Tamandua tetradactyla: one gene and its partners. The protein of the gene in region 1 binds, or shares a complex with, the protein of each later gene. Links are inferred from orthologs where the notes say so. Each region holds a gene or a part of one and is shown on either strand. Other genes may lie near its edges. The genes, in order: LIN9, LIN52 and E2F4.

Region 1 (10,296 bases):
TGGAAATGTCCAATCAAAGGCATCCGGGGAAAGATACCTTGGTTCAAGAAGGCCAATGAAGTTCAGGGTTTCTCTCTCAAGTGAGAAGGCACATGGCGAACACAGTCAGTGCTTCTCTCTCGGCTGGAAGGGCATGTGACGAACACAGCATCATCTCCTAGCTTCTTCTCCTGGCTTCCTGTTTCATGAAGCTCCCCAGGAGGCGTTTTCCTTCTTCATCTTCAAAGGCCACTGGCTGGTGCACTCTCTGCTTCATAGTGTTGCTCTCTCTGAATCTCTCTGAATCTCTTTCTCCAAAATGTTTCCTCTTTTATAGGACTCCAGTAAACCAATCAGGACCCACTCAAATGGGTGGAGACATGTCATCCCCTAATCCAGTTTATCAATCATTCTTGACTAAATCACCTCAACCAGGGAGATGATCTCATTACAGTTTCAAATATACAGTATTGAATAGGGATTATTCTACCTTTATGAAATGGAATTTATATTAAAACATGGCTTTTCTTAGGGGGCATACTTCCTTTCAAACCAGCACAATTTGTGAATAGGATCTTTGGAGATCCTATTTAGATGAAGCCAAATTGGATCAGGGTGAGCCTTAATCTGTATTACTGAAGGCCTTATAAAGAGAAGAAATTCAGACACAGCCAGTCAGAAGAAGTCAGAAGTTCTTAGAATCCAGAAGTAGGAGATGCCAGAGAGTGACATGGCCACGTGACAGAGGACTGCCATCACTAGAATGCTTGTGTCTCTGGGAGAAGGCATGGCTTTGCCGAAGTCTCAATTTTGGACTTCTAGCCTCCAAGCTGTAGGCCAATACATTTTTATTGTTTAAGCCAACCCATTGTGTAGTATTTGATGTAGCAGCTCTGGCAAACTAAGGCATTGATGGTAGATATAATCAATTGATTATAGATGAAAATTCTACCTCAAAAACCTTCATAGTAACAAAAAGTCCAGTGCTTTACCACACAACTAGACACCATGACCTATTTTGAGTTGACATATGAAATTAACTGTCACGGTGTCTGTGCTGGTTTGAATTTGTGGACCCCAGAAAAGCCATGTCCTTTAATCCTCATTCAATATTGCTGGCTGAGAGTTTTTGATTGTTCCCATGGAGATGTCACTCACCCGATTGTGGGTATTAACTTTTGATTAGAGGGAGATGTGACTCCACCCATTCCTGGTGGGCCTTGACTGGAATCCTTTAAAAGAGGAAACATTTTGGAGAGAGACCCTTTTTTAGAGCCACAACAGAGCCTGTGCAGCCAGAGACCTTTGGAGATGAAGAAGGAGAATGCCCTCGGGGGAGCTTCATGAAGCCAGGAGAGAAAGCTAGCAGACATAGCCATGTTCGCCAAGTGCCTTTCCAGTTGAGAGAGAAACCATAAACGTCATCAGGCTTCCTGAATCAAGGTATCTTTCCCTGGATGCCTTAGATTGAACATTTCTATAACTTGCTTTAGTTGGGACATTTCCACGGCCTTAGAACTGTGGACTTGCAACTTAATAAATTCCCCCTTTTAAAAGCCATTTTGTTCCTAGTATATTGCATTCCTGTGGCTAGCAAACTAGAACAGTGTCCTTATCCAAATTTTAGTTTAAAAACAAAGCAAACAACTACACTTATACAATTATGTTATGGTGGAAATTAAACAACTCTGTGTATACCTGCTTTCCTCACAGAACAGAAGAAAAACTGAGGTGCTGAGAGTGAGCTAGATTTCTGGTTCTATCAGTTAGTCACTGCTGTTCTTGGACATGTTACCAGGTTGTTGAGAAGATCAAGTAAGTCAATGGTTATAAAACCTTTCATAAATACCCAATAAAGAACCTCACCGAAAATAATAGTGAAGGGCCTAGCTGCTAACAAGTGGTAGATCTGGACTTGGAAAACAGCTTCATTTAGAGTTTTTGCTTAACAGGCAGATTATCAGGGAAGGGCCTAAAAATCTTCACTTAAATACCATTCTTGCTGGAGGTTTCAGTTCTTGTTTTAAGAAAACTGCCTTAGGGGGTGGGCCACGGTGGCTCAGCAGGCAGAGTTCTCGCCTGCCATGCCAGAGACCCGGGTTTGTTTCCTAGTACCTGCCCATGCAAAAAAAACAAAACAAACAAACAAACAAAAACGTGCCTTAGGATAAAACGTGGTTTATTTTGATCTGATATTCATGTTTTGTTTATATCTATTCTTTCAGTCTCAGAGAGGTGGCCTTCTCTTGAACTCATCTCCAAGTTGCTGAAACTTCCAGTGCTTTTCATCTTAAAGAACAGATCAGAATGTGTTTAGAAGGCATAGCAGGGGTTAAGTTAGTTATGAAGGAAAGATTACTCTGTAAAATTGAACTTTCATCCTTCCCATTCACACCCTGCTCCCTTTCCTACCTCAATAAGTGACGGCTCTTTCCACCCACTTTCCTAAGGCAGAAACTTGGCATTATCCGTGACACCCCTTTTTCCTCACAAACTATGAATCACCAAGTCCTGTCTTTTTCCACACCTCTTGAGAGACAGAATGCATCGTGTCCCTCCATCTCCTTCAATACTTCCTGTTTAGAAGTAGTCATAGCAGTAGCAGTAGCTAACATTTGACCAAAATGCATGCTAGGAATTATCATCAGGATTTTACATCAACTCATTATCCTCAAAATAACCCCATTATTATTATTTGAATTTTATAGATGAGAAAATGAAGCACAGGAAATTAAGAAACTTGCCTGAGATTTCACAGATAGCAGCCATAATTCCAACCTAGTCCTTCTGGCCCTCTCTGAAACTCCACAGCCATTAGTGCAGGCAGATATCTCTCTTCTCTTCCTGGCCCAAGTTTCCTCCTGACTGATTTCCAAGACTTTCATCTTGTCCCCCTCCAATTAATTTTCCACGTTTGCTCTAAAACAAAAATGGAACCTGCTACCCCATTATTTAAAGCCTGACCTCTGTTGTGCCACTGTTCAAACAGTCCAACTCCTTAGCCTGGGCTGGCCTCTGTGTTTTGTTCTGTCCTCATCTCAGTCTTTCTACCACTTTTCAACTTTTTAGTTCCTGGAATTCACCCATGCTATTTTCATTGCTTAGGACCTCTTCTGCCACCTCCACCCGCACCAGATTCTTGAAGGGAAAGGATTGGAGTTCTGCATTTGTTAAATTAGTTGTAGAAAAGTAGCAATGGTTTATTACTGGACAGTGTTAGAGACAAGAATTGTGAAATTTTTTCCTGGGCTTCATTCAAAACAGGATGAATTCTCTCATCCAGTGTTTCCATAACACTTTTATCAGAGTGCTTTCTCAACCTTGTAGTGTCCCTACTGGGTTCTTGTCTATAACCTTACAAAACCTTCTGTTACTCATTTTGTAATTCTCTCCTAGCTCACTACATGATCCTGTGTCCAGTGGATTAAAGAACAGTTCTTTAAAGGCTGGCCTAGAAGACTAACTTGAGGACTCCTTCAGGTCCCTCTCAGGCCCTGCGCGGCTCCGGTTCCAGCATCACAGGTAACGAGGCGCCTCGGTTCGCCACGGGCCGCGGCGAACCCCAAGCGTTGGACCCAGTGGCTGTGGGGCAGCTGTGGCCTCCTCCCCTCGCTCTTCCAAAGAGAAAGGGATGGAAGCACAGAAGAAACGCGGGCTTGGGGAACCTTGGCAAATTTACTCCGTATGGGGTTCCATGGGGTAAAGCGACCGAGAGCCAGGGCTTCTCTCCCATGACGGGCCTCCAGGCGCCTCCTCCCGCTCCCGCCTCAGCCCGCCGGGCCTCTCCCGGCTTCCCTCCCTCTTCCCACTCGGAACAAACAGCCTGCAGTTCCCGCAGCGGCAGCGCGAGACCCGGCGCCGGGCCCGGGCGGGACGCGGGAGCTCGCGTTGCTCCCTCAGCGCTCCAGCGCCGGGCCGGGGCGGGGGCAAGGGGCGAGGCGCAACCCGCCCCACCGCACCCCCTCGGCCGCCAGCAGCGGGCGGAGCCGGGCCTCGGGCCACCGCGACGGGAGCAGCGCCCGGCAGCGCGGCAGGCAGCGAGCTCCGCATTCGAACCTCCCTCGCTAAGACAGTCTCCGCCCCACAATGCACCGCGGCGGGCAGCCTTTGAAAAAGCGGCGCGGCTCGTTCAAGATGGCGGAGCTCGACCAGTTGCCCGACGAGAGTGAGTAGCACCTCAAAGCACCCCCCTTTCCTCCCAGCGGTCGCCTGCCCCGGGCTGCAGCGGCCGGGACAGATGGCGTGCCCTCCGCCGACCGGGTGGGCTGACTGCCAGTCCCACTAGGTGCTCCTAGTCCTCCCACTCCTGTGTTGCTGCCGCGTCGCCGCCTTTGTTATGGTGTCTGTGTATTGGTTTCTGGGGTTGTGGGAGCGCCAGGGCCGGAAACCGAAAGCCGGAGAGCCCAGCCGGTGTCGGGCGGAGGCGGTGGCTGCTCCCCTGGCCGGACTCCGGCCCCCGGCCTTGGTGGGAGAAGAGCTGCCCCCGGCCGCGGGGACTGTGTCCGCCGCCCGCACCGCTCGCCTGGCGCGGAGAGACACCGGCATGGGTTATGTAATGCTCCTGTCCCCGGGCCCGGGGAGGACTCGGCCGGGGAGGGGGTAGCCACCTGCCCTTTCTTCTTGCCCCACCTTCAGACGGAGTCCTGCCCCAGTTGTTACCTGTCCAGGCACTTGTGGTCTTCACTGTCACACCTCCCCCCGCGATGTGCCCACCTCTGGGAGTGTTTCCATGTCAAGGGGCTGCCCTTTGTGGGACCACAGGTGGCAGTGGATCCTTCCAGAGATAATCCAGACTGGATACTTACGGCACAGGTAGCCTTCATCCCCACAGACTTTCTCCTGCGTGTGCGTATCTTGAGAGTCATGGGGGTACCTTGGACATATTGATGTGACCAACCAGTGTACCTGTACAGTACTCCTGACGCCCACGCCTGTGCATTGCTTCACTTAGCCATGTCTACTCACTCTGCCTCAATGGAATCTCATGAACATATATTCTCGCTTGTGTTTAGTACGTAAAAGCACTAATTCCATAGTTTAAGCACAGTGGAATGCAACTTTGTAATTTACTAAATTGCGTAAATTATATAGAAAAGCAAATGTTTTATTTTAGTTAATTACAAAGAGATTCTGAGTCCACACTCACTATTTAGTTTATGTATACATAGCATTTGCAAGAGTTTTAATTTAACAAAAACGAAGGGCTCAATCACTGAAAAATCTATCAGTGCACAATATAAATAGACTTTGAAAATTAGAGCCAAATACAGGCAATTCTTTGTGGAATATATATTTTCAATGTGTTATCAAGTTAAAATTAAAAGTTCAAGTTCTAGTTAAGCCAAGCTGGTGAAAAGTTGTATTAAGAGTATTTTTGTTTTAAATTTACTCTAGCCAGTGCTAAGTTCCAATAGTACTTTCTCAGCAATGGAAATGTTCTATTCTGTGATGTCCATTAGGATAACCTTTAGCCACATGTGGCTATAGAGCCATTGAAATGTGGCTTGAGTGATTGAGGAACTGAATTTTAAATTATTTAAATGTTCCTCCTCGTTATCTTTACCAAGAGATAACTTTTATCACCTCTTAGAAGAAGTTAGAATAGACTTATTTTAGTTACTACAGTCATTCTTTTGAGTGAAAGATGTTTTAAGTGGCTTTTAATATAGCTCTTATTGGGAGTATTTGCATTATCGTTGCCAAACATTTACCTAGGACTTACATATTTCTTTGTAGGTTCAAATCACGGCTGTACTTTCAGACTATATAACCTAATCATTTATATTACTTTGTCACATCTCTAGTACATTGTATTGGGGAAGTGGGGATGTACTTGTGTGCATGTCTTGTTTAGCTAGACTGCAGCTTTGGTGAAAGCAGAGATTGCCTTATGTGGCTTGTGACACAGTGTCACAAATCAAGTATATGTAAATACTTGATTTATATGGAATTAAACATAGGGTAAGAGGCATTACTGAAGATACTGGAACAGGAAAAGTAAAAGTGATTTCAGTTTGATACTGGAAATAATAATTTGTTTATTCATCAAGATTAGGCAAGGGGACTAGCTAATATATTCACCAATAGCCAGCAACTATTATCAATAATAAATGCTACCATTTATCGAGTACTTACTATGCACAGACACTGTGCAAAGCATTTTACATAAATCTATTCATTTAATCCTCATGTCAATTGAGATGAGTACTCTAATTAGTTTGATTTTATATCAGATCTTTCCCTTGTGCTCTTGTTCTTGACATCTCTTGCTTATTTCACATCTCCTATTAGATAGCTCAGAAGTTCCTCAAATTTTACAAGCTCAAAATCTAACTCATGACACCAACCCAGGACAGAGATATTTTCAGTGGTCCTTGTCTTAATGAATGGCTCCATCTGGCAGGGCAAGAAACCTAGAGGTCATCTTTGGTACTCCCTTCTGTTTCATTTCCCATATTTAAGCCTTTACTAAGTCTTGTAGCTTTTTCTTTCAAAATGTCTCTTAAATCTACCTGCTTCTCTCCATTACCTGAGTCCAAGCTGTCACCATCTCTTATCTCCACTAATCACTTCAACCTTTCATTAATCCATCACCCCTTTACCCACATACATTCACACTTAAGCCAGAGTGAACTTTTCAAAATGTAAATATGTCTTGCCTTTAGTAGCTACAAGATCCTGCATGGTCTACCTTGTCCCACCTTTCCAGCCTCATTTTGGACCTTCCTATCATTTATCCCTTTGAAATACTTTGGACCTTTTTCATTCCCTCTATTTACTAAGATGTCTTTTCTGCAGTGCCTTTCCATGTGCTATTCTCTCCACCTAAAATGGTCTTTCCTCCCCTTACTTTCAAATACCTTCAGCTTATCCTTTAGACTCCATTTTAGCTTCTTCAGAGAGCTATTTTCTGTCCTCCCTTACAGCATTAAACTACTTATTAAAACCTTTCTCATAGCACTGTGTAAGTCCTTAGTGGCAGCTGTCACAGTTGCAGTTTTTAATTTGTTTATGTGATTGTTTGGTTAGCATCTGGTCCTTTTACTATTTTAGAAGCCCCACCAGAGTAGGTACTAGTTCTGTTTTTAACACTCTTGCACCCCAGTTCTATGCATAAGGCCTAGCTTACCTCTCTGACCTTATTTCATACCACTTTTTCTTGTTTGGTACTCTTGAAGCACACTGGCCTTTTTTCCCTTTCTTTGAATATATTTTAAGCTAATTTCAGTTATTTTTTTTTTAGTTTTTGTTTTAACCTTCTGTTTCTTCTGTATTACTTCTTCCTTGTGTTCTTATGGCTAGACCTTCTCAGAAGTTTCCTCTTCCAGCCTTTCCTAACCATGGTATATGAAGTAACTGCTATAGGAAATAAACAGAGTGATATCAGTATGGGGGAGTTACTTTATATATATGGATAATAATTATCTTTTTGTTTACTTGTTTATTGTGTGTCTGTTCTCACTAGAACCCTGAGAACAGGGTTTTGTCCATCTTGTTCCTTGGGATATGCCCAGCCTTAGATTAGTGCTTATGCCAGGCATTCAGTAAATATTTGCTGCATGAGTGAATAAATATATCCAGCTAGAATGGGATTCTAACTTAATCAGATTTACCTGCCTGTAAATTCATGTTATTAACCTAATAGGTCTTATTGATTGATCAAAATAATTCCAACAATAAACACTAAATGAAAATTTGCCATGTGGTATGTACACTATTCTTAGCACTTTTACATACATTATTTTAAACATTTTTTATTGTAAGATGTAACATCTATACAAAACAAAAAAAGAAAACAATAATTTTCAAAGCATACTTCAACAGATAGTTATAGAACAGATCCCAGAGTTTCTGCCATCTCAGATTTTTTCTTTTAGCTGCTCCCAAACACTGGAGGCTAGATGGAAGATTAATATAGTGATTCAGGAGTCATACTTGTCTGTTAAATGCTATTCTCTTTTATAACTTCTTCTCCCTCGATCCCTCTCTCAATCCATAGGGATCCCTGGGCAACACCCCTTCTGACTTCTTCATGTTGATAAGGGGTGTAGACACTAAAGGATAGAGCGATTAATTAATTGATAATGTTAGAGAGGCTGGTTCCTTTGGGTTTCAGTATTTATCTGACCTAGGAATCCTCCGGGAGTTATAGTTTCCAGAAAAGCAAACTTAGCGCATGAAACCTCTGTAGAGTCTCAGTTTGAGCCCCAGGTATTGTCAAGAGTCAACAGGAGTGATGCTGGTTGGGGTTTAGCAAACCATGGCAATCAGTACTATCTAATTGAAGCTTGCACAATAGTTGCCTCCAGAATAGTCTCTGGACTCCACCTGATTTCTCTTGGCTCCAGATGCCTCATCTTTTTAGGCATCTTTTATTGCTTCTCTTCCTCCCCTTGGCCCAGAAGACATTTGCATATATTATTAACTCATTTACTCCCACTTTACAGATGAAGAATCAGCAGCACAGAGAGGTTAAGTACTTTACTTAAGGTAGCAAAGACAGGAAGTGGCAGAGTCAAGATTCAGATGTATGTAGTCTCCATCTAGAGCCAGTACTCTTAACCACTGTGCTATACTGTCTCACAAAAAGATTAGAGTTGATAGGTCAGAATCCCCAAGATATGGTTCCTACCATCGTGGAGCAGAAATTCTTCAAATCTCTGCTCAAATGTCACCTTATCAGAGAAGCTAATCATGAGCAACTTACGTAAAACTAATAGTTTTCTCACATATACCCCAGTCCCCCCACACTGTCTATCCCCTGTTATTCTGCTTTAGTTTTTTCTGTAATGCTTGTTATCACCATGTGTGTACGCTCATTAGGATGTAAATTCCATGAGAACAGAGACTGGCTCTTTTTCTTGTTGTTGTATCCCCAGTGCCTAAAGCAGGAATGTTTCTCCTACTTCCCGTCACCCACAGATCCTGTACTTTACTCATATCAGAACCTGTAGTCCAGTGTTTCTCAGTGTGGTTCTGGAGGTTACCTATAGCACATGCAAATGTGGTCAGTACTCTATATATTTTCACTGAAGAGTGAATGGTTTTTTCTTTTTCTCAAGTGAGCTGGATTTCTCTTGTTAACTATGTGGCTATTTACACTGACTACTACTGCTGCTCCTTTGTAAAGTTGTGTTATTTGAGGCTTTTAAGCAAGAATTTATGGCATCTTCTTTTTTTCCTGACTATACTGCCTTTGGTTATTTAACTTCAGTGTGTTGTAAAGAAGCTGGTGAGTTGTCCTGTTATCCATTCTCCACATATAGACAAGTGAGGTGGGTAAAAGAAGAATGACTTTGATGCTAATGCTTTGTCTGTTCTATAGGCCTCTCATTCTGGCCTGCGGAGGAAAAATCAGTTGTTCATATGCCTTGGACTTCTTTGTAATATACCTATCCAACTGAGATTTTAACCTTAGCTCTCCCTGACTCCCTTAAAAACTTCTTTCCCTGATGTTTCTCCTACTTCCCGTCACCCACAGATCCTGTACTTTACTCATATCAGAACCTGTAGTCCAGTGTTTCTCAGTGTGGTTCTGGAGGTTACCTATATAGCACAGCCCCCTGGGAAGCTTTACTAAGAATACAGATCTGCATTTATGAGAGTTTCCTGGTTATTCTAATACATGTGAAAGTTCGTTCTAGACAGTCAACCCCTCCAACTTTATCCTAGCTCCACTTGCTGTTTTGGACTTCCTTTCAAGGTTGGATCTTTAAGTGTTGTACATACCTGCGTTTTAGACTTTTAAGGGACTTATCACCTGTCATGCTATCACTGGGTCATTTCCTTTTTTTTTTCCCTCTACTCCGTTACTACTTCTGATCTTAGCTGCAATAAATGTCAGTTCCCTTTCTTTTCTGCTTCTCTGGCACCAGAACACTTCTACAGAAGAGCCAGAATTGCTTCTGTTCCTACCTTCGCTCCTTTTTTACGTTTTCTCTTGGGAAAAGGCTTCCCGTTCTCACAGCCTCAGCAGACTCCCTAATGTCTCTCTCTGATTCTTCTTTATCTGAGCTCTGTTCTACAGCTTAAATTGTCTGCTAGATATTTCTTATCATACATCCAACCATCACTTCAAACTCAACATTGCTAAAATTAAGTGGATATGCTTTTACCCCCAAACCGAGTTCCTTTTCCCCTCATTTTGTGAAATAATTATTGATTTTTTTTTTTTTAATTTTTAATTGCAGGCTCTTCAGCAAAAGCCCTTGTCAGTTTAAAAGGTAAGAATTGTAGCATTTTTAGGTAGGTATGGCATAAACTGGGAATTTAGTTCATTAAAGTGATTTGGATATAATGTTACTTTTTCCTTCTAAG
Region 2 (10,296 bases), on another chromosome or scaffold:
GTGCAGTAGCTCAAACTTTAAGTGAAAAATTACACCCATCATATTAAGGTAGCCATTTTCTTACATATGTTCTGTGACTAAGCATGTAATCAATCTGCACATGGTCAATAATTAGATCAGCCCTAATTACATCATCAGAGCTAGTATGTTTATTATCTTAAAACCTGCCCATCTTTTGATACTAAAAACTATCAGAATTACTGCAGTTTGGGGAGACAAATTTTTAGGCAAATAGGCTATCTGATCTTATGTTTGGTGCCTAGCAATAAACTCTTTCTTTGAAACCCTGATGTCTCAGGAATTGGTCATGTGAGCATATCAGGCAAAGGACCCACCAAATACAATCAAACTATGATTGGTATCATCGTTGGTGATCATTAAATGCTAATATTCACTATTATTGTATTATAAATACTACTTGCTCTCATTCTTTGCTCTTTCAGAACTTATTAATTCTCCTAAAAAGTTCCAACTCCACTAATTCCCCTTTCACTTTCAGGAGCTGACCTTGTTTTTCCCACTTCAGAGAAAACAAACTATCAGATGGGAGCTCCCTAAACTAACAAACCTACAAAGCTGACATGAACCTTTACCCATTCTTTTTTCCTTCCCTCTTCTTAAGTATGGAAGGTAGCTAAGAAGCCTCACGAAGGTAAAATGACTGGAACACAGTCATTTAATATCCATATCTATGGACCAAAGAGATCTCTGACCTTCAGTCTAAGGCTAATATGTACACCAGTGCTCTGAAGCCATTCATTCCTACTGTCTCAGACACTTCCATCAATTATGTTCTCCTTCCTGTACCCGAAACCTCTCCTCATCCAAAAGCTCCTTTATTACCACATATACACTAAAAAAACCTCCTTCCTCTTCCTTAAATCCATGTTCTCTTCCACTTAATCAATGTCCTTAACAACCAAACTTCTTGAAAGCGTTTTCTATAATAGTTATTTTTATTTCCTTACTTCCCACTCACTCTTCAATCTACTCCAACCTTCATGACAGAATAGCAGTGACTTCCTAAATCCTATGGACCCTTCCCAGTCCCTCTTGTACTTGACCTCTCAGCAGAGATGTCATGGTTATTGATGTCCTTCTTCCTGAACCCTCTCTTATCACTTGTTTTTCACAAGTATCTCTGCTACCTTTTTGATCACCTCTTTTCAGCCTCCTTTGCTCACCTTCCTCTACCTGTCTCTTAGCTGTTTGACCTCTGTAAGGCTTGATCCTAAGCGTTCTTCTCACTCTGCATATTCTCCTTGGATGATTTTACCTACTCCCATGGCTTAATTATCTAGATTCTGATGATATCCACACCATATAGTCCTTAGCTGGAATCTTTCTATTCAGGTAATATTCATATAACTGCCTTTGCCACATCTCTACTTGGATGTTTCTTAGGTGTGTGTTCAAAAAACTGAATTCCTCATCTTCCCACCAACATGCTTGCTTCCTGCATCTCACCTCTCAGTGAATGGGGCCTCTATTCATCTAGAGGCCTAAGCAGAAACTTGAATGTCATCCCAACTCCCCTCTCTTTCTCCACAGCAAATCAAACAGCAAGTCCTGGCAATCTGTCCTGACAATCACCTTTAGAATGCACCCCTTTTTCTCTAGCCCCAATGCCATTACCCCAGTACATACCATCATTGTCTCTCCCTTGGACTATGATTATGGCTTCCTAACAGGTCTCCCAGCCTCCAATCTTAAACCTTCTGAATCTAGCTTCTACCATATAGCCTATGGGTCTTTCTAAAATACAAACCTGAACAGATCATGCTGTTGTTTAAAGCCCCCCAATGGCTTCCCACTCTCCTTGGATAAAGACTAATCTCCTAATGTCGCTTACAATGCCCAGCATAGTATCTTTACATCTCTAGTTTTACTGCTTGACACTTTCCTATTTGTTCTATAGACTCCAGCCATTCTGAATAGGCTTTGGCCTCTCTTTGCCTTAGCACATGCTATTGTTCCCTCTTCCTAAAATTATTTCATCCTATTTGCTTGACTCATTCCTATATCTTTAGGTCCCCACTTAGCCATTGCTTTCTCCAGAAAATCTCAATCTGGGGTCTGGGCTAAGTACCTTAATATGGAGTTCATAAAACACCCTGAATTTCTCTATTTCTCCTATCACATTAGGTGATAACAGCTTGTTTAATTATGTTTCTCTTCCTTTAGACCACTAGACCATTGTGTCCCTCAGCTTCTGGTGCAGTTCCTGGAATAAAGTAAGCACTCATTAATATTTTCCAGAATGAAAGAATGAGTATTTACCAAGCAACCTTGATAATAATTTTGCTCTATGTGCACTCTCTTAAAGGGCAGAAAATGCACGGATCAGACAACATGAGCATTCTAGGCCTTAGTTTTATTTTTTCACTTGCACACAGATTCCCTGCTGTCAAAAGGCTATAATTATCTATAAAATACATCAAGATCCTAGTTTTTGACAGTTTGGATCTATCTTTCCTTCATTTCCCAAGAAACACCTTCATTAGCACTGTTATTGAAGAAATCAACGTCAAACCAAAGTTCTTGCTCTTTAGATGCTTATTTGCTACTTACTATTTCCTTTATCAGGAACTCCCTTCTTCCCCTGGCGAATGGCCTGCTAGTCTTGTTAGAAACAGCCCCAGCCCCAAAGGCAACCACTTTTGGAATATTTTCCAGAATTGGCCATATGAAGTTGTGGCTCTGTTCCCACAGCACCCAGTGTTCTCCTATTGTTTATTATTATTATTACACATTTCTTGTTGTATTACAACAGGGGAGATTTCAGTGAAACCAAAGCCTGGGGCAATGCCTAATGCAGAAGAGATGTTTAAGTTCTGAATTCTCAGCTTCATCATTTACTACCACTTGAGACCTTGGGGAAACATAAGGGTCAGGTAATTTACATAATTATATTCACTAATTCTAATTCCCACAAATATTATCAAAACTAGAAAAGTGGTGGAGAAGGGTTAGACTTCAAGTATGACTTCGAAGTAATCTATACTCTTTCTACCACAACACTGAGGCAAGTCACAATCTCCTTAAAACTGGTTTTCTTATCTCTGAATGGGAAGGATATCTCAAAGAGCAGAGATTCTAGGTAAGTTTCACAAGGCACCATAAAAAAGAAAAGCTGAAAACTTAAAATAACTGAAAACAGGGAACTTTCTCCTTTACAGATTGTCTAATATTTATGCTGCTGCGCGCATATAGACTACTCTTTTGTCAAGGGCTCATGTTATAGCAACTCCTAATTGGCTAAGAGTTACTGTTTATGTTCAGAAGTTTCTTCAAATGAATCAGAAAATAGTGGCTGTTTCCAAAATAAAGTGCATGAGAGGAGAGATTTTTCTTGTTGATGCAAATGAACAAATTACCTTCTTTAAAGCTCTCAATGACTTATTATAATGGGCAAGGGTAAAAGGTAAAAGCCTATTTCTGAGGGTGTACTGATGGCTCAGTGGTAGAATGCTCGCCTTCCATGTGGCAGAACTGGGTTTGATTCCCAGCCCATGCACCTGCCCCCTCAGAAAAGCCTATTTCTGTGAAAGATGTCAAGGAGGGAGTTGGCAACTTTGTTTCTTTTTTACTAATACTAGAAAAACAGAACTAGAATCACAGCAAGAGATATATAAGGCCAGATCATTTGACAAAAACCCTCCAATCCATCTTCCACAATGTCCCATCAAAGACCATATTTAAACATGAATCTTCAATGACTCTGTCAAGAATCTTAACAATGCACAAGTTTCTGAGATAGAACTCACTGAAACCTGGTAAATACTATTATTATTTAAAAGTCCAGCAATATGGAGGAAGTTCCCAGGCTGGGTGAATGAACAAGAGAGGTAATGCTGTTTCTTGCAGATTTGAGAATTTTGCCTACAGTAAATCTTGTCTTATATTCTAAGTCCTTAATATGCATGCTCACTAGGCTTTGAAAAACAGGGGAAAGGCTTCGGATAGAGCTGGCCACCATAAGACTCGGGCTTGCAGCACTTGTAGCTTCACTACTTCTCCTTAGGCTTATCTTCAGAGGATCCACTTTCCCATGGGTGAAGTTGAGGGTATGTTGGTACTCCAAGAGCTGACTTTGGGACAGGAACTCACAATTCTTGTCTTCCCTGGCTCCCTCTATCACATTGCTTTAGAGATGTTTAGACCCTTGAGTGAACATGCAACATACTGATAGCATAACTACGGGCCCTTATTTACCTCCAACGTGAAAAGTGTAACTTCCCTGAGAGAAAGTTTCAGTGAAAGCCTTGGCAAGAAAAGGCCTGTGGAATACACAAAGAGCCACAGCTGGGACGCTTAGCAAGGCTGGTTTTGGTGAAAACCTAGTGGACACTTCTAGAAGGATATCCAAAGTTCATTCAGTAAAAAGTGTTATCATCAATTGTAACGAACTTTTCACACCAATGCAACTGTTGATGGTGAGGTGGTGTATAGAAATCCTGTACTTTATGCATTATTATTCTGTAAACCCACAACTTCTCTAATAAAAAAAAATTTAATTTAAAAAACGTTCATTCAGTGACCATCGCCCCTCGCGTGTCAGCTCCCCTCTTACCTCGGATAGGTACGATGAAGGAAAGGGAGCAGGAGAAAGAGCTCTAAAGGTTCTTGGGAGAGGTGGCAGGCGCGAAGGTGGAAGGGAAAGACGGTGAGGAGAACTAGAGAAGTAAGGGCAAGAAGGTGAAGGTAAGGAAGGGGTAGAGGTGGAAGAGCAGAGTGGGCCGAAGCCAGAAAACGGGAGGATCAGGAGTAGAAGGGCGGGGAACTAGGGGTGATGGCCCAGGACTGGAGCTGGGACGAGGCGTGGGGGTGGGGGAACACGGCCGCACAGGTCAGGTGAGAACACGAGACTCGGCCAAGAAGCTGGGCCAATAAGTCTGCCCGTCCGAGGTCGGTTGAGAGAGTGGACGGAAAAGATCCAATTCCTGGACTCGCGATCTTTCGTCCCTCACTCACCTGCAGGATACGGGCCCGGAATGCCGCCGCAGCAGCCACCACCGCCATGGCTCTAGGCCTCTTCTTCGTCTCCTTGCTCCTCTGCTGCTGGTGCAGATCCTCAGAAGTGCCACCGGGGCCAAACCCCGCCCCTCCATCTGCAGGACCTCTTCATTGGCAGAGAGGGCCATTTCTCCTAGCCAATCACGCACCCTGAACTCTGACTCCACCCCTAAATACCAGGCCTGGGGATACACGATTGGTCAATAGTGGAAGAACTCGCCCCCAGCCCGCCTCAGCAACTTCAATTGGCAGGGATAAGGAAGACGCCCCTGACAGGAGTAGTCTATAGCGAGAACACGGGGAAGACGCCCCCCTAACCCGGAACTCTGATTGGTCATACGCACAGCTGCGGCCCCGCCCCATCACTGAGGAAAGTAAATAAGATCCGCCAAGAATTTTGCATGAGGGACGTGGCTAGCAAGTGGTGGGCGGGGCTAATCAAAGATTGCCCTAGGAGGCGGGGAAACGAGTCCGGGCTGCGAGTTGGGGATAGGGTTTCCCTTTGGGGGCGTGGCTCATGATCCTCGCTTTCCCGCCGACGGTTGGCCACGTCACGTGACATGGGTTGGAAGATGGCGTCTCCCACTGACGGTAAGAGCCGGCTTAGATCTTTCGCCTGCAACCCCCTTTACTAGGAAGCTTCCGTTTTCCGTCTGACCCTCAAGCTTACACTTCTTTCTTGGAACTCTCTCCTTTCCCTTTCACTCCTTTCCTTGGGATGCGTCTCCTTTTTCAGCTCGCGGGTTCTCCACAGCGGCTCCAGAGGTGCCAGTTTCCCCGCTGTACACCAAACGGTGGAGTAGGGCATCTGCGAGGGACCTATTTCGGGCAAAAGGACGGGTATCGCTTCATCCTTTACCCCTGTTTGAGAAAGGCTGAGGGCCTAGGAGGAGATGCTGCTGGAGGAAAGGAAAGGAGGTGCCTTACTGTAGTTGTCTTTCTCAGGCGCTCTTTTGAAGGGTCAGTTCTCTTCTCATTGAACATCCTGAAAGATTCTGTCAAGCCCTTGCTGGGATTAGTGGTTGATCTCATCCTGGGATTGAGCCACAAGAGAAACGTGATTGTCTCCCATCGTCTCTGTTTGGGACGGTTGCCCTGCCTGCAAAGTAAAGCGAGGGACCTCGGGCCCTAACCATGAGAGTCCTGAGGAAAATGAGAATTGAGCTTTTTAGTATAATCTTGCACGCGTCTCATCATCTCTTGCTTTTGTTTTGTTGTTTCCTCAGGCTGAGTAACTTAATAAATTTCTGCTTATATGTTGCCTAAGTTGCCTAAGCAATTGGGTGGTTTTGGTATACCCATATGCTTTTTATTTTATTTTATTTTATTTTATTTTATTTTACATGGGCAGGCACCGGGAACTGAACCCGGGTCCTCTGGCATGGGAGGTGAGCATTCTTGCCTGCTGAGCCACCGTGGCCCGCCCCCCATATGCTTTTGTACTTTGTTTTCTTTTAGAGAGTTGGGGTCTTGCATCAATTTATTTTTTAAATCCCTCTATTCCTGTTCAGTCCTTTTGTCTGAATTTTATTCAGGTAATGATTGCCTTCTTTTATTCTCCTCTTTTGTGAAATATATTATTATCCAGTCACCCAAGACAAACTTTCTCCCTCACCAGCACACCCTAACTTCTAGTCAACAAGTGCTGATTTATCTTTCCTTTATTAGAGTTCCCTTTTGCAAGTCCATTTCTTCACAAGTCTGGTATATGAGATTTTAATTACTCTGCCACACTTTCCTGTTCTTCAGTCAGTGATAACAGCTCCAGGTTTGTTTGCTTTTGTATTTCCTGTCATAGTCTTTATTCATAAGGTCTTAGTCTTATTCAAAGTAGCAAAAATGCAGCTCTTCATCTCTTTCTGCTTATCAGCAGCTGGTTTAAAGCGTGCATGTAAAGTCCGAAATCAAAACTTTATTGCTGACAATTCCTTTAAGAGAATAATTGGATTTTTCTCACCTAGTGAATCAGGATGATTGGTCTTGATTTCATATTCCAGCCTGTATTGATTGTAATCAAGATCAGAGTCAGCTTTCTGTAATTCTGAAAAGCTGGCAGTTGTTGAAACATAGATGTTCTTAACATGTGGTCATCTGCAAATCCTGGGTTATACCTAGCAATTTTTTTTTGTATCTATATACAGTTTTCTGATGAGAAGGATTTCCTTTAAGGATCCATGGTCATCAGTTCCAGCTTATTGACCTCTGCCTCCATGCTGAATAGTGGGCATTCCTCCTGCATTCATTTTTAAAAACATTTTTATTGTGAAATATACATGCAAAAAATTGATACATTTCAAAGTACATTTTAACAAGTAGTTTTGGAACAAATTTAAAAGTCTGGTATGGATTATGGTTCCACCATTTCAGATATTTCCTTCTAGCTGCCCTAAGACACTGGAGACTAAAAAGAATATCAGTATAATGGTTCAGTAGTTATACTCATTTGTTAAATCCTCTCTTCTTTGATACAATTCTTCCTTCTCCTTTGATCCTTCACCCACTCTTTGGGGGATATTTAGGCAATGGCCATTCTAACTTCTTCATGTTGAAGAGGAGTGTTGACATTATGGGGTAGGGAGATACAATGGTTGATGCTCTTGGAAGACTGGTAATTCTGGGTTTCAGGGCTTATCTGGTGTAGGAACCATCTGGAGGTTATAAATTTCTGAAAAGTAAACTTAGTGAGTTCAGCTTTTATAGAGTCTCATATAGAGCCCTGGGTATTCTTTAGGGTTTAGAAGAATACTGTTGGTTGGGGCTTGGTATACTGAGGCAATTAGCAATATCTAACTGAAGCTTGCTATATAAAACCTCTAGAATAGCCTCTCAACTCTGTTTGAAATCTCTTAGCCACTGATAGCTTATTTTGTGACATTCTTTCTCCTTTTTTGTCAGGAAGGCATTGTTAATCCCATGGGCCAGGCTCATCCTTGGGAGTCATGTCCCACGTTACCAGGGAGATTTCCATCCCTGGATGTCATGTCCAGGGAAGAATAATGATTTTCCTTGCAGAGTTAGGCTTAGAGAGAGGGGGAGAAAGAGAGAGAGAGAGAGGCCACATCTGAGCAACAAAAGAGGTTCTCTGGAAATAACTCCTAGGCATTATTATAGCTAGGCTTAGCTTCTCCGTTACAGATTGAAGTTTCATAAAAGCAAGCCTCAAGTTCAAGGGTGTGCAGAAACTTTGGGCATTTATGTGACACCTGAGATTCAGACGAAGCTGTGACCGTCAGCAGTACAGGAACTGTTTACAAAGTTGAAAAAGGGATGTGACTTCCAGTACATATCTGAATGAAGCTGATCCAGATAGGACTAGGATAAATTAGAATACCTTTATCGTCAGGTCAAGGATGATATTGTCTATATTTTAAATCTTCAACCTCTGTGTAAGACCAAAGGGAGAGATGTTTATTTGGTGCAAAATTTATATTTTGGGTGGTGCATTTCCTAGTTTAACTTGTCTGGGCAGTTTATTGAACACCATAAGTACCTGTAATCTTGAATAGGGCATGAGACTTTGTTGGTTTGTCCAGGTTAGTATGATGCCTTAATATATCCCAGAGTAATTTGGGCAGTCAATAAAGAAGTATTTGCAAGGTCCCTGTGGGGCACTGTGGAGAAAGAAGGAAATATTCAACTTTTCCATTTGGAGAATTTCTTATATTCTTGCAAGCAGTGGGGACAGCCAAATCAACAGGCCGAGCCCTTGATCTTGGGGTTTGCCTCTATGAAACTTATCCCTGCAAAGGACAGGCTAAGCCTACTTAAAATTTGGCCTAAGAGTCACCCCCAGAGAATCTCTATTGTTACTCAGATGTGGCCTCTCCCTCTCTAAGCCTATGCAGCAAGTGAATTCACTGCCTTCTTCCCCAGTGTGAGTCATGACTCCCAGGGGTGTAAATCTCCCTAGCAATGTGGGACAGAAATCCTGGGATGAACCGGGATCTGGCATCAAGGGATTGAGAAGGCCTTTTTTACCAAAAGGGGGAAGAGAGAAATGAGACAAATCTTCAGTGACTGAGAGGTTTCAAACAGAGTTGAGACATTATCCTGAAGATTATTCTTACACATTATATAGATATCTCATTTTAGTTTATGGTGTATTGGAGTGACTAGAGGGAAGTACCTGAAACTGTTAAGCTGTGTTCCAGTAGCCTTAATCCTTGAAGATGATTGTATAATGATATAACTTTTACAATATGACTGTGTGTTTGTGAAGACCTTGTTGCCAATGCTCCCTTTATCTGGAGTACGGACAGATGCGTAAAAAATATGAATAAAAAGTAGATAATAGGGGACAAAGGTTAAAATAAATAGGGTAGATGGAAATACTAGTGGTCAATGAGAGAAAGGGTTGAGGTATGGTAGTGTGAGTTTTTTCTTTTTATTTCTTTTTCTGGAGTGATGCAAATGTTCTAAAAATGACCATGGTGATGAATACACAACTACATGATGATATTGCGAGCCATTGTATGTATATCATGTATGGAATGTTTGCATGTTAAGGTTTATCAATAAAAATATTTTTATAAAATAAAATAAAAAATTTAAAAAAAGAACATTAAAGAAAAAAAGATCAAGGGTGTGGCCTATTAATTTGGGAGTCCCTAATGTTTGAGAGAGTATCGGGGATATCCCAGGTGGGAAAGTTTAATAGTTCGATATTTTTTTCCCAGTCCCTGAAGGAACTTTGCTAATACTTTTTAATTATCTGTCCAACATACTCTGGAATGTATCCAGGTATTATATTAAGCGATGCAGAATTGCAAGGTCTTGTTCCCAATTCTAGGCTCCATGTGTTTAGGTTGTTTAACTGAACTGGCCAGACAGGCTAAGTTAAAAATGTGTACTACACAATACTATCTAACTGTAATACAATTATGTTAGCACACTGAGTGAAGCTGAATGTGAGAATGATAGAGGGAGGAGGCCTGGGGACACAAATGAAATCAGAAGGAAAGATAGACAACAAAGACTGAGATGGTATAATCTAGGAATGCCCAGAGTGTATAATGATAGTGACTGAATGTACAAATTTAAAAATGTTTTTGCATGAGGAAGAACAAAGGAATGTCAATACTGCAGGGTGTTGAAAATAGATAGTAATTCGTATTTTAAAACTTTAATTTGTGTGAGACTAAAGCAAAAAATGTTTATTTGGTACAAAATTTATAATTTGACTAGTGCGTTTCCTAATATAACTTATGTGGAAAGTTTAATTGAACACCAAAAGTACGTGGAACCTTGAGTAGGGCATGAGGTGTTGTAGGTTTGTCCAGA
Region 3 (10,296 bases), on another chromosome or scaffold:
GCACCCAGCTCAGGCCCTGCAAGGACCTGCTGCAGGCTGCGACGCAGGCCTCTGTGCAGGGTATGAGCCCATAGCTGGACCACCTTGTAGTGCGGTGGGCAGCAGGGTGCTACTAATGCCTCAGCTGTGGCCAACTCGGCTGGCAGTGCCACCTGCAGAGCCTCCAGCCACTCTGCTAGGGCACCTGGCCCAGGCAGTAGATGTGTCCCAAAGTGGACCCGCTCCAGGCCGTCCTGTAGAGCCTGCAGACAGCGCTGCCGCCAGTTCCGGGGGGCCTGCCCCAAGGCAGTTGTGCGTCTAGTCTCCACCTCAGCCACGCGCACAGCAGCCACCAGCAGGGCAGGGTCCTCCCGGGCCAGCTGTCCTGCAGTTCCTGCAACCATCTCCACAGCCTGGCCCAGTGCCTCAGCCAGAGGGCCTAGCCCCTCAAGATCTGGCAACTCCAGGTCCCCTAGGTGTGCCCAGGTCTCCTCTCTCAGCTGCTCCAGCTCCCGCAGGCTCACATATGCCTCGAGGAGTTGCTGGGCATCAATCAGGGACTGTGTGTGGGTCACTGCAGCAGGCACTAATGAAGAACACAGGAGACAGCCCTGGTCTCAGAGTTAATACCTGTGCAACAGGTGCAGCAGGTGAGGAGACCTGGGCTGGGGTGATATGTAAATGTTAATAATCAGTACGGTGGAACACTGGCCCATTGGAAGGGCACAAGTGAAATTCTAGAAGCCTGGTGGACCATGTGTGGACCCTTGGGCTGATGGAACAAGAGGAAGTCAGGGATTCCAGAAGAAGTTAGGGACCACACAAATGGCTTTTCACCCACCCTGTTAGGAAAATAGTTCACTGTAACCAGGGTGCCTGTGTATCAGTCCTAATTCAGACAACCCATGCTTGGAAAACCCAGGATGAACTGAATTACATATGCTTCACATGTCATTTGAACCCTGGGAGGTTCCTGGTGTGTCCCTCCATGTGATCCCCACCTAGTGCCCCAGCCCCTTGATCAGTGAAGGAGCTGGAGAGCTGAGGCCTGGGACCCCAGCACACTCACCTGCCTGCAGCCGGGGCAGCAGCTGAGACAGGGCCTTCAGTTGTTTATGTTGGGCCACCTGCTCCTGCAAGGGTGCTAGGGTCTCTGCAGACTCAGCCATGCTCTGGAGCAACCCACAGGCCTGGCCCAGGGCCTCACGGGCTCCCTGCATGGACTCAAGGGCCTGTGCCAACTGCCCCACACCAGTCTGCACGCCCTCCAGGTACGACTGCATCACTGACTGTGGGAGGGAAGCCATTAGTGAGGCCTGGACAACCCCGCAGCACATCTCCAGTACTCCTGCTCCCCCAAACTTCATGCCTACTTTGATGCGAGCTTCCAGGGAGCAGGTGCGTTGCATCTCGCGGCTACGGTACTGGCCCAGCCTGGTCAGCTGCTCGGGCCGGTAGAAGATGCCGGAGGCCCACTTGAGCGCGGCACCCCGGGCCAGCTGCTCCGCCTTCTCCTGCTCTGGCCACTCAGGCCCTGGGCAGGAAGAGCCTGGGCAGCTGCGTCAGTCTGGCAGGGCCTGCAGGAAATGTCTGCCGAACCTGCCCCCCTTCCCGCCTGTCCCCTAGCTCCAACCAGACCTGCCAAGGAAGGACCCAAGCCCACGTTCCCATCTTCCTTCCTTCATCCCTCCCCCAGCCCACCCAGGACTCATACCAGGCAGAAGGGCAGGCTCCATTTCGTCCTTGGCAGAGTCCACGGCGGGCCCTGGAGGAGCTGGAGCTGCGGTAGGAATGCAAGGCAAGGATCTGGGTTAGAATGAGCTCAGTGGATGCTCCTTTGAGCTGCAGCCTCTGTCTAGGCCCCTCTAAGAAGGCGGAGGGTGGTTTTTGCCCAGCCCCCTCCGGAAATGAGAGGGAGGCCTTACCTGCTGAGTTTCCTAGTTGTGCTCCTCCAGACACAGTGAGGCAGGGTGGGCACAGGCCTCCGCTGGGCCCTGTTCCTGCTCTGAGTTGCAGGGGACAGTTTGGTGAGTATGGGACTCACCAGGCTTGCATAGGCACTCAGTTCCCCCTCCTCTGCAGACGGCCTTGGCCTTGATGATGGCTCTGTCTCCTCCAGTCCTGCAGCTGAGCTTCTCACTCCCTTCCCTCCCTCACAGGGTCTGGGTGACTCCAGCCCACTCCTGGCCATGCAATAGAATCCCTGTCCCTGGGGAAACCTCTCTCCCACCTCCCAGCCCCCTTCTCCCTCCAAGGCCCCTCCCTCCCCAAGGCCACACACAGAAAGGAAGGAAGCTGAGTCTCTGGTGCTTTATTCCCAACAGGAAAGAGCTTCTGCACTGTGGGATGAAGTGGGGAGGGCTGGGGCCACCTCCATGAGGGTTGGGGGCTGGGGGCTGAACTCTCTGAAAACTGCAAGTCTTGTCCAGCCCACTTCAGGACCTCCTTCGTGCTCAGGACCCAGGCATACCTGGGGCGGGGGTTGGGGTGGGGTGTGCAGATATGGATGCAGACTACAACACTGCGGTATGAAGTGTGTTGATGGGAAAGTGCCTGCCTCTGCAGAGGAGAGTAGCCACAGGCTGTTCTGAAGAGGCTGTGTGGTAGGTGATGGTATGAAGGGGGTCACAGGCCTTGAAAGCCGTGCCAAAGAGGTGGCTTCTTGTCCTCAGAGTTGTAGGGAGTTTTGGAGGGACTAGAGGATAGTACTGGGTAGCGGCCACTGTACCTCCCAAATCTGCCCTACAGGCCTGAGGGCTCACAGCTGCATCTTCTCGGTCATTATTAAGGTACATAGACCCAGATCTTTGTCTGGATTTAGAACATCTCTGAAGGGCCAACCCAGCTTCAAAACTCCTAATGGGATGGGCTGAGGGCTCTATTATAACTGCATTCTAACTTAATTCCTTTGTCTGCCTGATTTCGGCTTCTTGTACTCCCTTAGAAGCGTGGATCCCTGGTAAACTTTTTGCAAGCATATCCATGATTCAAGGTCTGTTTCCCAGAGAACTTGACCAATAGTAAAACATAATAAATAACAATGTTAAAAATAAAATGATACTAGCAAGAACATATTCCGCTCTCCGTGCCAGAAACTGCTCTAAGTGCTTTACACACATTTACACGTAGATAAACATGTTTGCATGGGCTAAAAAGTGGTTGTAATCTTATGGCAGCAACTAGACCTTTGAGCGCTGTGGTGTGGAGCAGAGAAAGAAGGAAGAAAGAAAGAACTGAGGCTGGGACCAGAGCAGGAGGTTTGGGATGTAGAGGAAGTGGACAAGCTAAATGTAGTTAGCGCTGGCTGTTAGGAAATGAAGGACAGGAATAGGGTGGGGCAAACTCCAGGAAAAGGTTTAGGAGAACATATTGGGTTCAGCAAGCAGGGTGGTCTCCTCTCCCAAGATAGGGTCTGGAGCGGAGTTAGCAGTGTTAAGGAAGGTTGGCAAGAAAGGTTCCGGTGACATTCCCTTCTCTACTGCGGGGGCCATCCACTGACGTCCTCCTTAGCCCTCCCAACTCTGTCCTGTTTTCGGGATCTCCGGTTTGTTTTCGCCCTCCTTGGCGGTTAAATTTTTCCGACGGTTCCTAACGTTTTGCGGCGGTGCTCACATGAAGGAATTGCGCCAAGTTCCCTGGAAGGGAGGAAGCGGAAGCAGGGTCGCCGGCACCGGCAGCCGGTCGACCAGGAGCGGAAGCGGAAGTGGCGGCGGCGCCGGCCTGGCCTGGCCTGGCTGAGGGGAGGCGGCGGGCGGGCGAGATGGCGGAGGCCGGGCCACAGGCGCCGCCGCCCCCGGGCACTCCAAGCCGGCACGAGAAGAGTCTGGGACTTCTCACCACCAAGTTCGTGTCGCTTTTGCAGGAGGCCAAGGACGGCGTGCTTGACCTCAAGCTGGTGCGGCCTGGGCTAAGGGGACGACCGGAGGAGTTGGTGGTGGATTAGGCCTGGCCGGGAGCGGGAACCCCTGGGGCGGTCCCACTGCATCTTCCGAGAGCAGGCCGCCATCGTGTGCTTTCTCACAGAAGGGAGGTCCCGGAGATGTTTCATTCATTCGGCAAAGGGCATTGAGCGTCAGCTGTGTGCCGGCGCGGGGCTGCAGGTGCTGGCCCTCGTGGCTGGCTCTGTGGTCCCAAGTTATGTAGTGCCTGAGTGGAGGTTTGGGACTCAGGTTGCCCCCTTGCCAGACAACTGCACATCAAGTCTCAAGGTAGCTGGGGCCTGCTGACCTGACGGATGCAGTGGGAGTTTTTGTCTAATAGATACGTGGCTAGGAGTACACCTGGGAAAGGGGCTGACCACCCTCCACTCTGTTCTGTCTGCCAGGCAGCTGACACCCTAGCTGTGCGCCAGAAGCGGCGGATTTATGATATTACCAATGTGCTGGAAGGTATCGGGCTGATTGAAAAAAAATCTAAGAACAGCATCCAGTGGAAGTGAGTGGGGGCATTTAGGATCTCTTATGCAGAAGTGTCAGAGGCGTAGGGTGAGGGAGGGTGTGTGCAAGTGAGAGCAGGGGCCAGGGGACTCAGTTCCTGGCAGCCTCTCTCAGCTCCGTTTCCTGGGCTCAGAGGTGTGGGGCCTGGCTGCAATACCCGGGAGATTGCTGACAAGCTGATTGAGCTCAAGGCGGAGATCGAGGAACTGCAGCAGCGGGAGCAAGAACTGGACCAGCACAAGGTGTGGGTGCAGCAGAGCATCCGGAACGTCACAGAGGATGTGCAGAACAGCTGATATCCTGCTGGCAGTCTTTACTTTGGGGGCATGGGTGAGGGGCCCTCTGGTCCAGATGGGTTTGCTCTCTGGTGCCCTTAGCCCTGTGTCTCTTGGGAGGATGCTCCTGAGGCTTCTGGCTGGATCGCTTCCTTGGGTTCCCTCCTCAGAGTTCCTTCCCCTCCAGACTTGGCTTGTCGTCCCTCCCCATGTGGACTTCAGACTCCAGTACTTTTTCTGAGGGTCTTTATCTCAGACACCTGCTAAAAAGCTGTGTCCTCTCTGTGGTCGCCATTCTGTTACCATAGACAGGGCATCCACCGTTCTCCTTAACCCCCACACCTTGGCCTACGTGACTCATGAGGACATCTGCAGATGCTTTGCTGGTGAGCAGAGCCTGGGTAGGGGGAGATGGGGGTGGGCCTGGGTTGAGCCACAGCCCTGAGCATTGGGCTCAGTGCCCAAGAAGAGTTCCATCTCTTAGGAGGGTTCCTGGGCCTGACCAAAGAGAAATCAGGCATGGGTAAGTCTGTAGTCCCCACCTGCACCATTCCCTGGGCTTGGCCTCTTGGGCATGATGGAGGGACAAGGAAGAGAGAGCGTTTGTGTGTGTGTGTGCGCACATTCGCATGTGTGTGCATGCTTATATGCAGGGGACAGTGGTGTCCACTTCTAATGATAGCTTAGTTTCATGTGGGTACAAGAGCCGTTCCTTCTCTACCTTACATCCCCTAGGTTGTTCCTGGGGAAGGGATGTTGGCATTAGAACACCTGAACTTAGGGAACAGCCCCATCAGTGCATCAGTGAGGTATTCCTGACTACCGATCTTTTGCTTTGTATATTTGAACCCATATTTTCTAGTTACTGGCCACTGGACTCTTGGTGAGAGAAAAGCTTCAGCTTCCTACCCCATCCACTGTGGGGTGTGGGTGAGGCCTACTGTCTAGCCCCTCAGAGACCATGATCTGCTGCAAAGGGCAGGCACTCTCATTCCAGCTGAAGTTGAGTCTGTGGGCTCTGACCCATCCTTCCTCTCATTCTAGGAGACACCCTCCTGGCCATCCGGGCCCCATCGGGCACCAGCCTGGAGGTGCCCATCCCAGAGGTGGGTGCTCAGCTCAGGCAGGCGGGGATGACTGAGGGCGGGTGCTGGCTGTGGAGCCTGATAAGTCCCGGGTGGGGCAGGTAGGGGGAGGCCTGGGGTTTGGGGTTATCTAGGAGGACGGGCAGCCTGGGGTGGGAGAGGACACTCTGGCCCTGACCCAGGAACAGGCAGGAGCCAAGTCTGGTCCCAATACCTGTCCACCATCCCTACCCCCAACCTCCAGGGCCTCAATGGGCAGAAGAAGTACCAAATTCATCTGAAGAGTGTGAGTGGCCCCATCGAGGTGTTGCTGGTGAACAAGGAGGCCTGGAGCTCGCCCCCTGTGGCTGTGCCTGTTCCACCACCGGAAGATCTGCTCCAGGGCCCACCTACTATCTCTACCCCTCCACTTCTGCCCAAACCTGCCCTGGCCCAGCCCCTGGAAGCCTCACGCCCAAGCAGTCCCCAGCTGACCACCTCTACCCCTATCTCCTGCAGCACCGAGGTCCAGGGGGTGGCCAGCCCAGCAGCTGAGAGCACAGGTGAGGCATGATTGGCAGCTAGTGAGGAGGTTATTTCCTGGCACCCAAGAGCTGCACCTTGTGTTATGGAATGCGATGCCAGAGCTGGAAGGGACCCTGTTGGAGTTGTCCTTTTCCTAGCCCCCACCTGGCCTCTCCTTGCTATGGCAGTGAACAAGCTCTTTTTAACAGGGAAACTGTTTGATGGGGCCTTCTTATCCCCCCACCCACCCATATCCACCTGTGCCTTACTTTCCCTGGCAGCCCCTCCTGAAGTTTGGCCACAGCAGCCATGTCACCCATGAGTTCCCTCCAGCAGGCCTCATGCTTTGCCTCCTTCAGTGACTCATTTCCAAGTTACCTATTCTGGGTATCTGCCAGTGCCTGGCTCTCCTTTGGCCTGGGATTTAGGATTGTGGTCATCCTGGCCCTGGGTTCTAGCACAGCCAGGTGCTATAACCTGTTTCCTGCCCCTCATGTGACTGGTTCGCGGGGGATGTGGTTTCAGTGAGTGGAGGCTGTGGAATCGAGAACAAGGACAGTGGTGAGCTCAGCTCACTCCCACTGGGCCTGACAGCACTGGATACCCGGCCACTGCAGTCTTCTGCCCTGCTGGACAGCAGCAGCAGCAGCAATAACAGTTCCTCTGGACCTAATCCTTCTACCTCCTTTGAGCCCATCAAAGCGGACCCCACAGGTGGTGAGTACCTGGCCACTGGAGGGCAGGAAGGACCCAGCCTCATCCCAAGTCTAGGTTAGTGACAGAATTGGGGCTGGAACCCAGCTTGCCTGTCTCCTCAGCCAGAGCTTGCCAGCCCAAGGATCCCAGTCTCTTGCCATTAACCCCTCTCCTGACACCCGAGCTCTCTGCCAGTCACCGTGTGAGGAAGAGCCTGACTTCGGGTCAGTGCTGGTGCCCCTTTTGCCTGCACTTCTTGGGCTACCACAGTCCTCCCTGCCCCTCTCGCAAGCCTTGTCTGCCACCCCTTGGACTCAGGTTTCAGGAAGGTACAAGTGCTCTCCTGGGGAGGAAATTCTGGTATGGCTCTTGGGTGCCAGAGTGACCTCCTTTCCGGAGGAGGAGACATCATCTCCCTGATACCTCCTCTTCTTCATGTGTCTTTAGTACTCATTCTTACCCCACAAGCCCCACTGTCTCTCTGTCCTCACCAAGTAACATTCTCCCTCCTTTGTGCCCCCCTCTCACACCTTTCCTTTCTCCGCCCTGTCTCGATTACTTGAAAAAGTAATTTTGACTTTGCTCCACTCACCTTCAGGTTGCAGCAGTCAGAACGCATGTGCCCACTTTCCCCAGAACTACTCCACAAAGTGCTGCTTTTGATAAGTTACCAAAGACCTGGCTACCACATCCAGCAGGTGTAGGGTGTTTTGCTCTGGTGCCTTCTTGCTCCATGTGTATGATCTTTCCTCCTTTGGCTTTAGTGGTGCCACCTCACTGGCTTCTCCCTGACCCCTCCCTGATGCTCCCTTAAACATTGGTGCTTCCCAGGTCTCTCTCCCATCCCTTGGGAGGGCCCCAGCTCTCGGTGGATGAATCTCTACCGTCCCTCTAGCCTAGATCTTTTGTCTGAACTTCAGACCTCTGTGTTCACCTGTCTTCTGGATGCCTCCCTCTCCATGCACATCCAGTAGGCGCTTCATTCCCATGTGTCCTCACCTGCATTTATCTTCCTTCTGAAACCTGCTTTTCTCCCTCAGTGTGTAGCTTCCTGTTGGCCCTTTTCATCCAGGCTTGACACCCCTGGATGTCACTCCACTTACTCTTTCCACTGCCTCTTTCCTCTGCTCCCCACCCCACATCAGCTACGTGAGTTTCTATCCCGGATGTCCTGCATCCTCAACACCCAGGATCAGTCCCTTCTACCACTAGCTGAGATACTTGATCCTCTCATCCTCTTCTCAACTCCAATTGACTGAGGCATCTTTCTGAAATGCAAACCTGACTGTGGCATTTCTGCATTTGCAAAAGTACTTGTAACAGCCCCCTGAGGCCTGCTGGGTAAAGTCAGAGCCCCTACACCTGGCATGTGAAGTCTCACAATCCAGATCCAGCACTTCTCTCCAGCTTCATCTTCCTCGGCTTCCCATATGTATTCTCCCCATCGGGACTTTGTAATAGAGTCATCACCCTGTGGCACTACACCCTGTTTAGGTGTCTGCCTTTTCCTCTGTTAGGTGACCTGAGGGTGCTCGGGTGCTCTGCAAGGGTGGGGGGTAGACGCTGAGCTCAGAAAGGTGGCGTGGGTCTGCTGCCCTTCTGCAACATCACTGAGTTAGGATGGCTGTGCCAAGCAACTACGATGGGCCTTTGGTATCTCAGGCTCAGCACTGAGGAATTTGGTTATAGCAGGGGGATGACAGTGGCAACTTGGTTCAGGGAAGACCCGGAGTGGACAGAATAGGACCTAAGGAAGGTGGGGTTTGGAATGGGTCTCTGTGCCTTTGTGCATGGCTTTCTTTTCTTTCAGTTTTGGAACTCCCCAAAGAGCTGTCAGAAATATTTGATCCCACACGAGGTAGGGCATTTCTCCCTGGGGCTGAGGGGCACAGCTCATTGGGTCCTCTTGCTTTTTTCTCATGGACCTTAGGGTTGTGCTTGGTGCCTGGGTCAAAGGGTAAAGCTCTGAATGGGGTGGAGGTGGGATCCTTTTTATGGGCTTTGGGGTTGGAGAAGCAGTAGCAGAAGGTAATTGAACTCTCCTTCCCCAGAGTGCATGAGCTCGGAGCTGCTGGAGGAGCTGATGTCCTCAGAAGGTGGGTGGCCCAGGAAGGCAGGGGTTTGGTGTGGCAGGTGGTGGGTGGCAACTGGGCGTGGCCTTGGCCCGGGGTCTCAACCTGGTACTCTCTGCAGTGTTTGCCCCCCTCCTCCGTCTCTCTCCACCCCCTGGAGACCATGATTACATCTACAATCTGGACGAGAGTGAAGGTGTCTGTGACCTCTTTGATGTGCCTGTTCTCAACCTCTGACTGATGGGGACATGCCGGTGTGGCTGAAAAACAGACTGTCTGACCTGGGGCCTGCCTGGGGACTGCCCTCCATCCCACCAGTACTCAGCTCAAGAGCCACTAATCCTGGCTTCCCTAGCCTTCCCTCACTGCACAGTTCTGGCCATGACTCCCACTCCTGTCCCTGCATCTGCACTGTGCTAGGAGAGCAGGGAAAAGGGGCTCAGCCCCCTCCATCATGGATCCAAAGTGTTTGCCTCACCTTTTCTGGGGCCTTCCCCACCTTGTGCCCTTGCTGAGCCCTCCCAGAGCCCAGGCTTGGCTGCCACCCAGTGGCACAGAACTGAGGAATCGCCGTCGCCCCCATAGGGCAGTTTGTCCAGCCCCACTCCCTGCCTCTGCCAGTCCCCTGCCAGCCCCCACCCCCACCCCAAGGAGGGAAGAGTTGGGTAGAGCTAGGTGCTTGCCAGCACTACTCTTAGCCTCCTTTGCTGCTGCCCACCCCCTGGCCCTTCAGCTCCTCCTGGCCCTCTAATGCACCACTCTTCTGTTCAGCCCTTAAGCCCTAAGAACTTGTAGCTGGAGGTGGTGAGGTGCTAACTGGAAGGAACAGAGATCTCTAGCTAGGAATCTGGCCAGGTCAGTCCCTGAAGATTGCCCCAGTCTCCCGTTGCCCCATAACCCTCCTTGTTATTCATTTACCCTGTTAGAGTCATTTGCAGAGATTTAGAAAGAGTTACAGTAACGAATGGATTCCTATATAAAGATTATTTTTATACTTTTTGCAGCAAAAGGAAATTGTAATATTTGTACAGTGTCCACGTGAATAAAGATGGTGCCTAAGGCTTTCTTTGATCTGGTTCTTTCAGGGGCCCCCTTCCTGGAACTCGGCTGGATTGGTGGTGGGGCTGGGTGGGTCACCTTGCAACAGCAGGAGCGGCAGGTGCAGCAGCCGCCAGCAGTCTGCTCCTATGTGCCTCCACCTGCCCCACCTTGGGATGGGGCGGGGCCACCTCAGCGAGGCGGGGCAGCG

The links.
Region 2: the proteins of LIN9 (region 1) and LIN52 are in contact, whole or in part, in a crystal structure (PDB 6C48), measured with the Homo sapiens proteins. The link is inferred for Tamandua tetradactyla from reciprocal best matches to the Homo sapiens genes LIN9 and LIN52. Residues at the interface, in NP_001353174.1 of Homo sapiens: Leu335, Gly336, Phe338, Phe342, Leu343, Ile344, Val346, Thr347, Leu349, Ser350, Lys351, Leu353, Met354, Lys356, Lys357, Ile360, Leu363, Arg364, Asn367, Thr368, Ala370, Glu371, Lys374, Ile382, Phe384, Gln385, Tyr388, Ala389, Val392, Leu395; in NP_001019845.2 of Homo sapiens: Asp61, Met64, Leu65, Leu68, Gly69, Leu71, Thr72, Thr73, Leu76, Met77, Val80, Leu83, Gln84, Leu86, Ala87, Leu90, Asp93, Glu94, Glu97, Met98, Arg100, Gly101, Leu104, Asn105, Ile106, Leu107, Glu108, Pro110.
Region 3: LIN9 (region 1) and E2F4 share a complex: the UniProt entries of both Homo sapiens proteins name them as parts of the DREAM complex. The link is inferred for Tamandua tetradactyla from reciprocal best matches to the Homo sapiens genes LIN9 and E2F4.

The regions. Positions count from the first base shown.
Region 1 is NC_135333.1:20,289,692-20,299,987, forward strand, and holds the start of LIN9 (protein lin-9 homolog), read left to right. Parts: upstream 1-4,030; 5' UTR 4,031-4,065; coding exon 4,066-4,144; intron 4,145-10,169; coding exon 10,170-10,202; intron 10,203-10,296. UniProt on the Homo sapiens protein: Acts as a tumor suppressor. Inhibits DNA synthesis. Its ability to inhibit oncogenic transformation is mediated through its association with RB1. Plays a role in the expression of genes required for the G1/S transition.
Region 2 is NC_135338.1:33,066,027-33,076,322, forward strand, and holds the start of LIN52 (protein lin-52 homolog), read left to right. Parts: upstream 1-5,236; 5' UTR 5,237-5,576; coding exon 5,577-5,607; intron 5,608-10,296. Other genes in the region: ALDH6A1 (methylmalonate-semialdehyde/malonate-semialdehyde dehydrogenase [acylating], mitochondrial), read right to left, coding at 4,975-5,022.
Region 3 is NC_135342.1:60,883,366-60,893,661, forward strand, and holds E2F4 (transcription factor E2F4), read left to right. Parts: upstream 1-3,703; 5' UTR 3,704-3,739; coding exon 3,740-3,874; intron 3,875-4,303; coding exon 4,304-4,413; intron 4,414-4,548; coding exon 4,549-4,710; intron 4,711-5,032; coding exon 5,033-5,076; intron 5,077-5,734; coding exon 5,735-5,796; intron 5,797-6,019; coding exon 6,020-6,317; intron 6,318-6,804; coding exon 6,805-6,996; intron 6,997-8,785; coding exon 8,786-8,833; intron 8,834-9,026; coding exon 9,027-9,071; intron 9,072-9,168; coding exon 9,169-9,284; 3' UTR 9,285-10,111; downstream 10,112-10,296. Other genes in the region: EXOC3L1 (exocyst complex component 3-like protein), read right to left, coding at 1-565, 1,049-1,268, 1,694-1,759, 2,024-2,170. UniProt on the Homo sapiens protein: Transcription activator that binds DNA cooperatively with DP proteins through the E2 recognition site, 5'-TTTC[CG]CGC-3' found in the promoter region of a number of genes whose products are involved in cell cycle regulation or in DNA replication.